Sus scrofa: one gene and its partners. The protein of the gene in region 3 interacts with the protein of the main gene of each other region in a biochemical or structural test. Links are inferred from orthologs where the notes say so. Each region holds a gene or a part of one and is shown on either strand. Other genes may lie near its edges.

Region 1 (3,652 bases), on a different chromosome or scaffold from region 3:
ATTCTAGACTTTGGACCTAAAAAGCTGTGACCGCCTCAAGAGTAAAGACTGAAAACTTGGAGAACCATGTTCCCAAAGCCCCCGTCACTGGAGTCGCTTGTGCTGCTCAGACGAACCTGAGTAGCAGTAGAGGCAGGGACAGAGCAGCCAACAGGCTGTGCCAGCCACAGTAATTATCTGTACGGAAATATTTAGTATATTAAAGCTATAAGTGTTTACAACTAGGGTGTAACTATCAGCCAGTACAAAAAATAGGACTAGAAGTGAATGAGCTTCTTTCTATAGAGCTCACTGTCCCAAAAAGTTTACTAGCCCTGGAGACCTTCTGAGTGGTTCTACAGACTGGTATTTGCGGCAAGTTCTAGATCTATTCCAACCTCAGAGGATCAGAGATGTTATTTTCTCATGACTGCCAATCAATTCCAAAACAGACTTTTAAATTAATTATCAATTCCTAACAAAGGACATTTTCCGCTTACCTTAAGGTCTCTATGAATTAACTGTTTTGAATGTATATAATGCACTCCTGTTGTTATTTGTTCAAAGAATTCCAAAGCCAAACATTTATCTGGTTCCTTGTTTCTTTGGCTGTCAATCCATTGTTCCAATGTCCCTTTATCACAGTATTCCATTTGGATGAAAAGGCACCTTGTCTTTGATCTGGGTATATAGTTCACAGGATGTTAGATTTAGCAATAAAAATAAATATATAAAAAATACACTTAAAAATACATTTTTAGGCGTTCTCTTGTGGTACAGTACGTTAAGGATCCAGCACTGCCACTGAAGCAGCTTGGGTTGCTACTGTGGCAAAGGTTCAATTCCTGGCCTGGAAGTTCAATCCCTGGAACTTCCACATACTGTGAGTGAGGCACAAAAAAAAAAAAAAAAAAAAAAAAAAAAAAAAAAAATTGTTGGAGATCCCATTGTGGCTCAGCGGAAACGAACCTGACTAGTATCCATGAGGATGTGGGTTCGATCCCTGGCTCTGCTCCGTGGATTAAGGATCCGGTGCTGCCATGAGCTGTGGAGCAGGTCATAAACAAGGCGTGGATCTGGTATTGCTGTGGCTATGGCGTAGGCGGACAGCTGCAGCTCTGATTCTACCCGTAGCCTGGGGACTTCCATATGTCTCGGGAGCAGCCATAAAAAGACAGAAAAAAAAATGTTAGGAACTTTATCTTCTTAAAAATACCAAACAGGTCTCAAAACAGAAATCTAACAATAATAGATTTGAATCAAAACATAATAAGCCATTCTTTGTTTAAATCGTAAGTTCCCAGACATCCAAAGATTTCTTTAGCTAAGCCCATTCTTTAAAGCTGAAGGACCATGATTATCTTTGCTAATAGATAGGAATAGGAGCATAAATACAATGGAACTGCAGAAAACCAAATTTCATTATTATATACAGTAATTTCAAAACATTTTAATTCACCATTGGTCTACTGAACATCTCTTTTGTGAAAGGCACAGAACAGGCACCTCAAGATAAGAAATGAATTAGACACTATTCTTGCTGTCATGAGGATGACAGGAGACAGATAAAGGAAAAATAAACCTAAAATAACAGTTCAAGCATAGGAATCCTAACAGAAGTGCCAACAGATTGCCATGAGATATAACAGAGAGGACTGACTTTGCTAATCATGCAGTTTTTTTTTTTTTTCCTCTGAACTAAGCTGGCCTCAATATTAATTTAACTTCTTTGAGCATATATTGACTAGAATATAGAAAAGAGGGAGCCAGTAATTTGCCAAAAGCTGAAGAAGTCTGTATGCTGACAGCACTCCTGAAACCAATGATAAAGGTCTCAATTACATGGGGTGGAGACAGGGCTGGAGTCAGGAGCCTGTGAATGAACAGGCCCAGAGTGGCCTCAGGACTGCACTGAAAGGACTGTCCCCTGGAAACGCTGGTGACCTTCACAGGGAGGTGCCAGCTCTTTAAAACCCTTTAGCTCTTTTGCATTGACTCACCTCAGACAAAACAGGAGTATTGCAAGGTGGGGTGCCCCCCATCACAGCTCAAGGTCCCCAATTCTTTTCACTCCTCACCACCCCACTATAAGTGGTGCAGCTGCATTTGAAAGACACCCCCTGGGATGTCTTCCTATTGCAGCTCAGCAGGTTAAGAACATGACATAGCCGCTGGCCTCACTCAGCGAGTTAAGAACCAGCACTGCCCCCAAGCTACTACGCATAAGTAGCAGATGTGGCTCTGATCAGGTGATGCTATGGCTGGCAGCTGAGGCTCCTTACCTGGGAACTTCCATATGCTGCAGGTATGGCCATAAAAAGAAGAAAAAGAAAAAAAAAAAAAAGAGACCCCTGGCTGCACCCCGCCAATCAAGTGAAGGGGACAACAGCAGAAGAGGGAGCCTCCAATTGCAGCATGTATAGCATGAACAGCACATTCAAACCTTCAGGAGTCTGTATTTATGGCCATGTCTGCTTTTATGGCTGGCAGTGACTGAAGTCAGGCACATGAGCAAGCCCTCACCTTAAACAAGGGAGTAGGAAAGCTAAACCTGAGATTTCTGAAAACAGCTGAGGACAACTGAAAAACTTTTTTTTTTTAAAGGAAGCTTGGAGCAACGAGATGAGCAAGGAAAAGATTATTAAGCAGGCAATGAAGAGTCTGCTTAACTGCAGATCAAGTCAAAATAGTGCCTCAAAGGATGTTTCTAGTTGTGATTGTTAAATGTAAGAATTAATGGCCATATGTGGTGACCCACAAACAGTAAAGGACAGTTTCTTCCATCCTATTATAGTTATGGGCATCTCTTTTTAGTTACCTTAAAGTATTCATGCTTTGCTCAGGATCATAATCATTCCCATCCCAGCAACCGTAGTAGAGAACAATATTTGGATGTTTAAGCGTTGCCAAAGCTTTCACTTCACGCTCTACCTTCCTGGTTAAAGAAACAGAGAACATACCTGGGTCAGTATACATCTTTGATAACAACAAAAAAACATCTCTACCAACAGGAGACAACTACCTGCATTTCCTTCAAACGGCTGCCATGGTTCACATACTCTGAGTTTTAGAATGGAAGCCAGGAATACTCAAAAGGAAAAAGTGAACACAGAAAAAGCACAGCTGATCTCACTCTCAGCAATAAAAGAAAAAGCAGGAGTTCCCGTCGTGGCGCAGTGGAAATGAATCCGACTAGGGACCATGAGGTTGCAGGTTTGATCCCTGGCCTCGCTCAGTGTGTTAAGGATCTGAGTTCCTGTGAGCTGTGGTGCAGGTCGCAGATGCGGCTCAGATCCCGTGTTGCTGTGGCTTTGGCGTAGGCCAGCGGCTGTAGCTCTGATTAGACCCCTAGCTTAGAAACCTCCATATGCTTCAGGTGTGGCCCTAAAAAGACAAAAAAGACCAAAAAAAAAAAAAAAAAAAAAGTGAGAGAAAAGAAAAAGCAATGACAAATTATTCCAAACATTAGGTGATTTAAAAGTCATTTGTAGTAGTCTGTGAACTGCCAGTGATTTTTTTTTTTTTCTGGAGCTAACTCATCTATTACGTTTTGTTTAGACTTATGTTAACATCACGTTGGATTTCATAAGCAAACCCCATTTGGGTATTAAGAGCAGATAATCTGAGCAGCACAAAGGACCCAATTCAGAATTTTCAACGTATGGCAAAAATA
Region 2 (3,652 bases), on a different chromosome or scaffold from region 3:
ACGCATGCGGAACTGGTCGCGGTAGGCATCGTACTGGCCCTCGTAGGCCATTTCCATCTCAGGGTCAAGCTCGCCGTAGTCATAGCCTGACCGGTACAGATCACGCTCGCTCAGGACAGCCCTTGAGTCACAGGCCTCGTAGGAATCATATCTGCAGAGGCAGGTGGCAAGCATCAGGGACGATCTCAGGTCCCATCATCCTATTACTGCCTCTGCCTTCCCCTAAACCTCGTTGTCCTGGGGATAGGAAGACCCACTCCAACACCCATCCTGTCAGAAAGGATCAATGTTCAGATATGCAAATTAAAAGGTCTCTGAGGAACAGAGTTCTAGAAGCCAGAAAGGGCTCTCGGCCAGTGTCCCCAAGCCTGCATGAGGCCACACACCAGCTTGAAGACCCTAAGGGCAAGGGGTAGGCTGGGTAGGCACGTCCCACTCCTCAACACTTTTTGCTTGCTACAGAGCCCATGCACGCAAAAGTCCCCTTGGCACTCTTTGCCCCCTAGTGGTCCTGGGGCCTCACTTGGCCCCACCAGTGCCTGGCCAGGTCCCTCCTTACTCTCTGCTCTTCCCTGTCAGTTGGAGCCATGAGGTTGCTCCCCTCATGGCTGTGCCAAGAGATGCCCTCTTCACTGAAACCTCTCACTAGGGCACAAGAACGCCTGGGCCAGCAGCAGTTTGGACAATGACAAATGCCTACAGCATGATGCTGTGGGGCAGGGCAGATCTGAGTGGGAGGCCCATCTCCACTATTTACTCCTGGGTACCTTTGGGCAAGAGGTGTGACCTGCCCACACTTTACTTTCCCCATCTGCATAGTGAGGACATCAACAGTTCCTCACAGGAACACTTCTGATGTTCAACAAGTACACATTTATAAGTCACCAAAGGGTACCCTTATATGGGATGGTCCAGCTCACTATGGTCAGCCCCAAAGGTTCACTCCAACCTTTACACTCAACCCAATCTGTCCTGCCCTGACAGAAGGCAGGATGCAAAGTATCTCGAGAGCTTCAAATGGTTGTCTCCAGAGGGAGGAGCCATTTAACAATGTTCCTGAGAAGAGTGAAATGGGAGGATTCAGTGAAACCAGCCCAGTCTGGGCTTGTTTCTCCCTCTATAAGCTGGAGGAGAGGCTCACCACTGGGCAATGCAGGAGAATGGAGGGAGAAGAGGACACAGGCCAGAGAAGGGAAGTGCCTTGGACCCCAAGCAGTCTCTGGGAAACCCCAGCAGCAGAGCAAAGAAAAAAGTAGACACAAGAGATAGTTCAGAAGAGGAAGACACCAGGGAACAAGAGACAGGAGGTGACCCGGCAGAGCCTCAACCCCTAGGCAGGTAGATGCCCACTCACCTTTCTCCACCTGAGCTGTACACGCCTCCTTGTATCACATCTGTCTCCAAGTGCGGAACCATATCTAAGCGCTGGTTAATTCTGGACAAAACGGAATCGGCACTGGCACTACCCATGGCACTAGGGTTTGCATTTGTGTCAGAGCTAGGCATTTCCCAAGAGTTTGAAGTGGCCATACCATACCCATAGTTGGTGGTGTTATCCTGGCCATAGCCATAGCCATAACCATAGTTCTCGTAGCCTGCAATGAGGGGGACAGAAAGAGAGACAGACAAGATGGAGGGGGCGAGGAGACAGAGAAACAAACACAAGAGACAGGACATTTTTGGTCAGAGACAAGCTGGGTGGGCCATCGCCATTCTGAAAAGGCCTCCTGTGAAGGAATTGCTGGCCCCAGTGCACCCAGGACCCCCAAAGACAACCCCCACCCTGCAACTTTAACTAGGCTGGGCAGTGGCAGAAACACTCAATCAGTTTAATCCCAAGGAAAAGGAGAGTGATTATGGGAATGATACTTGCCTCTGTTTGTCCCAGAGTTCCAAGTTCCATATCCTATAAAAAGTAAAAGAGAAATTACATCTATAATTGCTTATAAATGCAACAAGAATTCAATTCAGACACAAAGACAATGATTCCCAGCACCTGACTGGTTAGAGACTAAGCCTCGCCTAACTAAGAAGCCTTGAGCTTGCGCTACATAAATGAGCCAGGCCACTTGTTGCCCTGGTGCCTGACTTTGCATGGCTCTGACACTCTGCTATTTATGAACCCCCCATTCCCAGCATTCTCAGCTAAGGAATTTGGCGCCTATACTCTTTCTTTGAAGAGCCTAAATTGGAAGATTATTCCTGCTCCCAGCTAAGTACCAATCTGAGGAAGAGGAGAGCAGTTTCCAATGCCTCATACACTCTATGCTGTACAAGAAGCTCAGCACAGAGCTCATACCCACTCAAACTCTGTCAATCAAATCACCCAACAAAGTTATCTGGAGCAGAGAAACTGACTGCCCTAGTCCCACAAATGTTTAACTTAATAGGAAGAACCAGGAGTTCCTTTGTGGCATATAGGTTAAGGATCCTGTATTGTCACTGCAGTGGCTTGAGTCATTCCTGTGGTGCAGGTTCAATTCCTGACCAGGGAACTTCCACATGCCACAAGCACAGCTGGGGGAGGGGGGGGAATCCAAAAACAGAAACAAAAAATCCCCAAAACATGGAGAAACACCACCAAGCCCGTGAACTGTGTGAGTGTGCTTGGAACACATAAGTAGAGGGAAAGACAAGATACCACTCTCAGCTTGAAAAAAGCTGTTAAGAGAACAATCAGGATTATAAACTAAATATGTTTTGAATTTTATCAGACACATAAGGAAAATTCATTCCTTCAGAAACATAAAGCCACTGAAAACTAACAAACTGCAAAAAAACAAGTGGGAACTCTGAGTCAAGCAGACATGATTCTTCCAGAAGGAGTCCATAAGAACAGGTCACCACCTTCCCAGTGTCTGATGGGACCCCCAGAGTCATCTACTCCACACTGTTCCTGCCCTGCAGACAGATAGGCCATGCTAATCCTAGGGCAGGGACCAAACCTCAGTGAGATGGCAGTGAGATGAAAAATAGAATCCAGCCACAGGAAAGCAAGAGTTCATACACTGAGAATATGAACCAGAGCAAATGGGGATGGGGACAGTGGGTCAGTCAAGGTTCTACACTCAAGTTCCTCCTCAATCAGGTACACAAATGAATGGAGAGGCATTGGAAAACAGCGAGGAACTTTGGTCACTATTCTAATGAACCACAGGCATGCTAGAGCTCACAAAGCAAAAATCTTCTTCAGCTGTGGAAACCAAAAGCAGGGGCTTCTTATTCCTTTATTCGACAATTACCATCCTCAGAGCAAACAGAACAAAGTGTGGCAGTCCTGGGCACTCCTCAGACCCAGAGCACTGCTATTAAAGGAGGCAGGAAATAAGAGAGCAGCAAGGGCTGGAAATCACATAAGAAGGGAGTGGTATACGAAGCTTTTCTTTCTTTTTTGGGGGGGTCCTTTTTATTTTGTTTTGTTTTTGTCTTTTTAAGGCCTCACCTGCAGCATATGGAAGTTCCCAGGCTAGGGGTTGAATCGGAGCAATAGCTGCTGGCCTACAACACAGCCACAGAAACACCAGATCCAAGCTGCATCTCTGACCTACACCACAGCTCACGGCAACACTAAATCCTTAACACACTGAGCAAGGCCAGGGATGGAACCTGCATCCTCATGGATACTAGTCAGATTCTTTTCTGCTGAGCCACA
Region 3 (3,652 bases):
GGAAATACGCAGGGAGGCATTGTGTATAGATAAAGAATTATATGGTAATCAATACACAGAGGACAAAAATGTCAAAACTTGGTTCTATCTCGCCACCTTATGCCCCGTGTCTTCTCTGTATAGTGCCTAAGCTTGTCCTGGCAATTGAAAAATCTTTGCCCGTGCCTACTTTAGGGAATAGTGAATAGCACACAGCTCTTTCTGTGCCAATCCCAGTCGTTTGGTGCCAGCTGCCTGTGTGTAACACAGATTTTGGGGTTGCTTAGCGGGGTAGAAGAACCACGCCTTCACGATTTGGTGACGTCATCTGAAGTGCCACATATTCTCGTTTAGCTTCATAGATTCCCTGAGAGTTAAGCTAAATTCTGGAATAGAGTTGGCTTGAGTAATTACCACATGCTTAGGTGTCTGTGCCAGATTCTGTTTAAATGCTATACAGTCATTAATTCACTTAATGATTATAAATACACTATGAGGTGTAGGTAGTAGTTATTATACACACTTTCAGATGAGGAAAATGAGGCACAGAAACATGAGTAACTTGGTTGAGGTCATCTAGCTGGTAAGTGGCACGCTTTGTAGGTCTTAGTCTTTCACGTAGTGGAAATATGGTAGTTATGTGTTGATAGTGTATGTGAGTTTTACAATTAACCACTCTTTCCTAATTAGGCAAAAAGTGAAGCTGTTCACTGCTCACAACAACATGACCAATTATGCTACAGTGTGGGCATCCAAAACAAACCTTGAGCAGCGGAAAGGACGAGCTGGTCGTGTACGGCCTGGGTTCTGCTTTCACCTCTGCAGCCGAGCTCGTTTTGACAGGTACGAGCAATTCTGGAATAAAGAGTGAATTTTTTTTTTTTTTAACCTTTTACAAACAAACCTCCCTTCCTCACACTCCTTTGCCCTGCCATAAACTTCCTGAACTTAAGTGAATTGGAGGAAACTTAGCTTTCTCCAATCACTTAGCAAGATTGTGTTGAGAATGTAAAGAAATAAGAAATTATCAATGGTGGCATGTTTGATACTAGTTAACTATTTACTAATAACCTTTTAAAAGCATGATACATGTTTTCCCCGTTAAAAAGGGGGGGAAAGGATATATGGGCATAATTCTGGCACCACATAGCTTTACCACTTTGGGATTACTGATACTTATGAATTGGTTAACCATCTGAAAGATACATTAAAATAACAGTACTTTTGTATTTATAGAATTATACCACACCCCCACACCCACTGTTAGCACATCACCTCTCACATGATCCTCATGTGTCTGAGAAACAGAGGGCATTATTTAGGTAAGGAAAGCAAAGCTTAAGGAGCTTAGCCACTAATCCAGGACTGAAACCCAAGCCTGTTAATACCTTGTCCATCTCCACAGAGCCTTTGGGGGGAAGTTTTTGGATGAGACCAATTAGTTTAAAAAATCCTTAACTTTCTGAATTACAGATTTAAGGTATATATTTAGTTATATGTTTCTTGAAACCCATGTCGTATACTTAAGTTTTAACCAGTTGGTTATAGAGATAGTGTTAGGGTGTATTTGAGAGAGAGAGAGAGACTAATTTAGGTGGCCAGATGTATATAATACACTGAGGAAAAATCAAAGCTGGTTTGATTTGTTTTTATACTGATAACATATGGCTCTCTAGTAATTAATTGTAAATGTAGGTTTATTTGAGTGTCCTAAGTTAAGGCAGGAGACTGGCTGTAACATTTGGAAGATACCTGATTCTTTTTAAAGGTTGAATTGTCCTTTGAAGAAACAAGTTCTGTACTCTTAACATCTTAATGTAAAACCACCTACCAACTAGCAACACCATGAATAGATCTGTAAGGGATTTTTGTTCTTTTCTCCATAGGATGACGAATAGATAATGCCTATCTGTGTTTTTATAAACTTGATTTAAGCTAATCTAAGTCTTGCTAGCAGTGTTGGAATCCACCTCTAAATGGCTCCCATGAACCTTCGTTATGTAAATAATACATGCAGAATCATCCTGAGACTTGGATTTTAATATTTGTGCCAACTGTATCACATAACCATAAACATTTACACTCTTTAAGCCTTTGTTTCCCTATTCTACAAAAAAAAAAAATCTCTTTCCTCTTTTGAGAAAGGAAGATAGTGAAATTCTAACCACATGGGGTTTGTTTGAGAATGGAGTCAGTTATATAAAATGCTGAGAAAAAAGCTTGGCACGTATTAAGCTCTCAGTAAACATTAGCTATTATCATTGTTAATTTATATTAATAGTTTTCATTGTTAATATTTTAAAGGGTTAGATAATGTGTAAGATCTTTGCAGTGGTACTAAATTTACCTGAATGAGGAAGTGGGGGAAGAGGTTACAGGGAAATGTTAGTATGAGCTTGTATCTCCCATAAAAGGTCTTGCTACCATTTTTAACTCAAGTTTGTCAGGAGGCAGGACCTGAAGAAGCCCTAGATGGGGGTAATAACATGAGGGATTTGGGGTAATTTTTCATCCTCCTTCATTTCTCAGCTGAAAATACCTCAAGCTGTAAGTGAAGTCATAAGCCACTACTCAGTTAAGGTCTTGTCTAGAGAGCCTTTGTAGGAAATATGCAATGTTCTTTGGTGATTTAAAAGGATAAGGGAGGGGCAATTTCATATCCCTGATCATCTCTACAAAATTTGAGTGTACACAAGAGAAGATGGTTGTTTTACACTTAACTTTTTTTCTTTTTCTCTTTTTTTTTTTCAACTTTTTCTTAGACTCGAGACCCACATGACACCAGAGATGTTCCGAACACCATTGCATGAAATTGCTTTGAGCATAAAACTTCTGCGTCTGGGAGGAATTGGCCAGTTTCTGGCCAAGGCAATTGAACCTCCACCTTTGGATGCTGTGATTGAAGCGGAGCACACACTTAGAGGTACCTGCAAATACAGACCTGCCTAATACTTACCAGTTATATCATCTGTCTTATCCTGACAAATAACACTTAACAAATGAGTCAAGAAGAGGATACAGTCCACAGGGCTATGATAATAAGGTTTTCAATGTTGCTTAATGTACATGGTATGGTCAGAATATAAAATGAGCAACATAAATGAAGAAAGAGATAATGTGAATCTTATTTGGGGGGGGGAAATGGAGAAAAGACAGGTGTTCTCTCGTAACCAGTATTTTATGGATCAGAATATGAATTACTTATGATACCCAGTGTCTTATGTACATCTCTTAGAACATCTGTTTATGTTTTCTGATCACTTATGGAAGCACTGTAGTATAGTAGAAAATAAGAGCATCGGAGCCAACGAAGAACCTGAATTTGAATTTTGACTCTTGTGCTCATCTGCTTTGAGACTTTTATTCTCCAAATTTCATTTCTTTCTGAAAATTATCAACGGATGTTATCAGACTTATAGCATCTACCTACTTAGGCCACTGTTATACTTATTTCTGTGATTATAGACTTCTCATGGACTGTACTCAGCTTTACACCCAATAGGATTTAATTCTAGTACCTTTTTCATGTTAGGTGTTCTTGAATTTGGTTTTTTTAGTGAAGAGAATTGTTGGCCACAGGCGTGGCGCTGGCAGTTGGCTTGACAATTGATGACAACTTCAGTGCAGTATCCAAACCTTAATCTATAAAGAAATGTTTCATCTTTGCTTAGGT

The links.
Region 1: the proteins of DHX9 (region 3) and EIF2AK2 form a complex in vitro, tested with the Homo sapiens proteins (2 studies listed by BioGRID, with this or other methods). The link is inferred for Sus scrofa from reciprocal best matches to the Homo sapiens genes DHX9 and EIF2AK2.
Region 2: the proteins of DHX9 (region 3) and AKAP8L form a complex in vitro, tested with the Homo sapiens proteins (2 studies listed by BioGRID). The link is inferred for Sus scrofa from reciprocal best matches to the Homo sapiens genes DHX9 and AKAP8L.

What each region holds. Positions count from the first base shown.
Region 1 is NC_010445.4:103,071,962-103,075,613, reverse strand, and holds part of EIF2AK2 (interferon-induced, double-stranded RNA-activated protein kinase), read right to left. Parts: intron 2,915-3,652; coding exon 2,798-2,914; intron 661-2,797; coding exon 480-660; intron 1-479.
Region 2 is NC_010444.4:62,194,703-62,198,354, reverse strand, and holds part of AKAP8L (A-kinase anchor protein 8-like), read right to left. Parts: intron 1,907-3,652; coding exon 1,874-1,906; intron 1,596-1,873; coding exon 1,355-1,595; intron 152-1,354; coding exon 1-151. UniProt on the Homo sapiens protein: Could play a role in constitutive transport element (CTE)-mediated gene expression by association with DHX9. Increases CTE-dependent nuclear unspliced mRNA export.
Region 3 is NC_010451.4:124,172,831-124,176,482, forward strand, and holds part of DHX9 (ATP-dependent RNA helicase A), read left to right. Parts: intron 1-669; coding exon 670-822; intron 823-2,741; coding exon 2,742-2,902; intron 2,903-3,652. UniProt on the Homo sapiens protein: Multifunctional ATP-dependent nucleic acid helicase that unwinds DNA and RNA in a 3' to 5' direction and that plays important roles in many processes, such as DNA replication, transcriptional activation, post-transcriptional RNA regulation, mRNA translation and RNA-mediated gene silencing.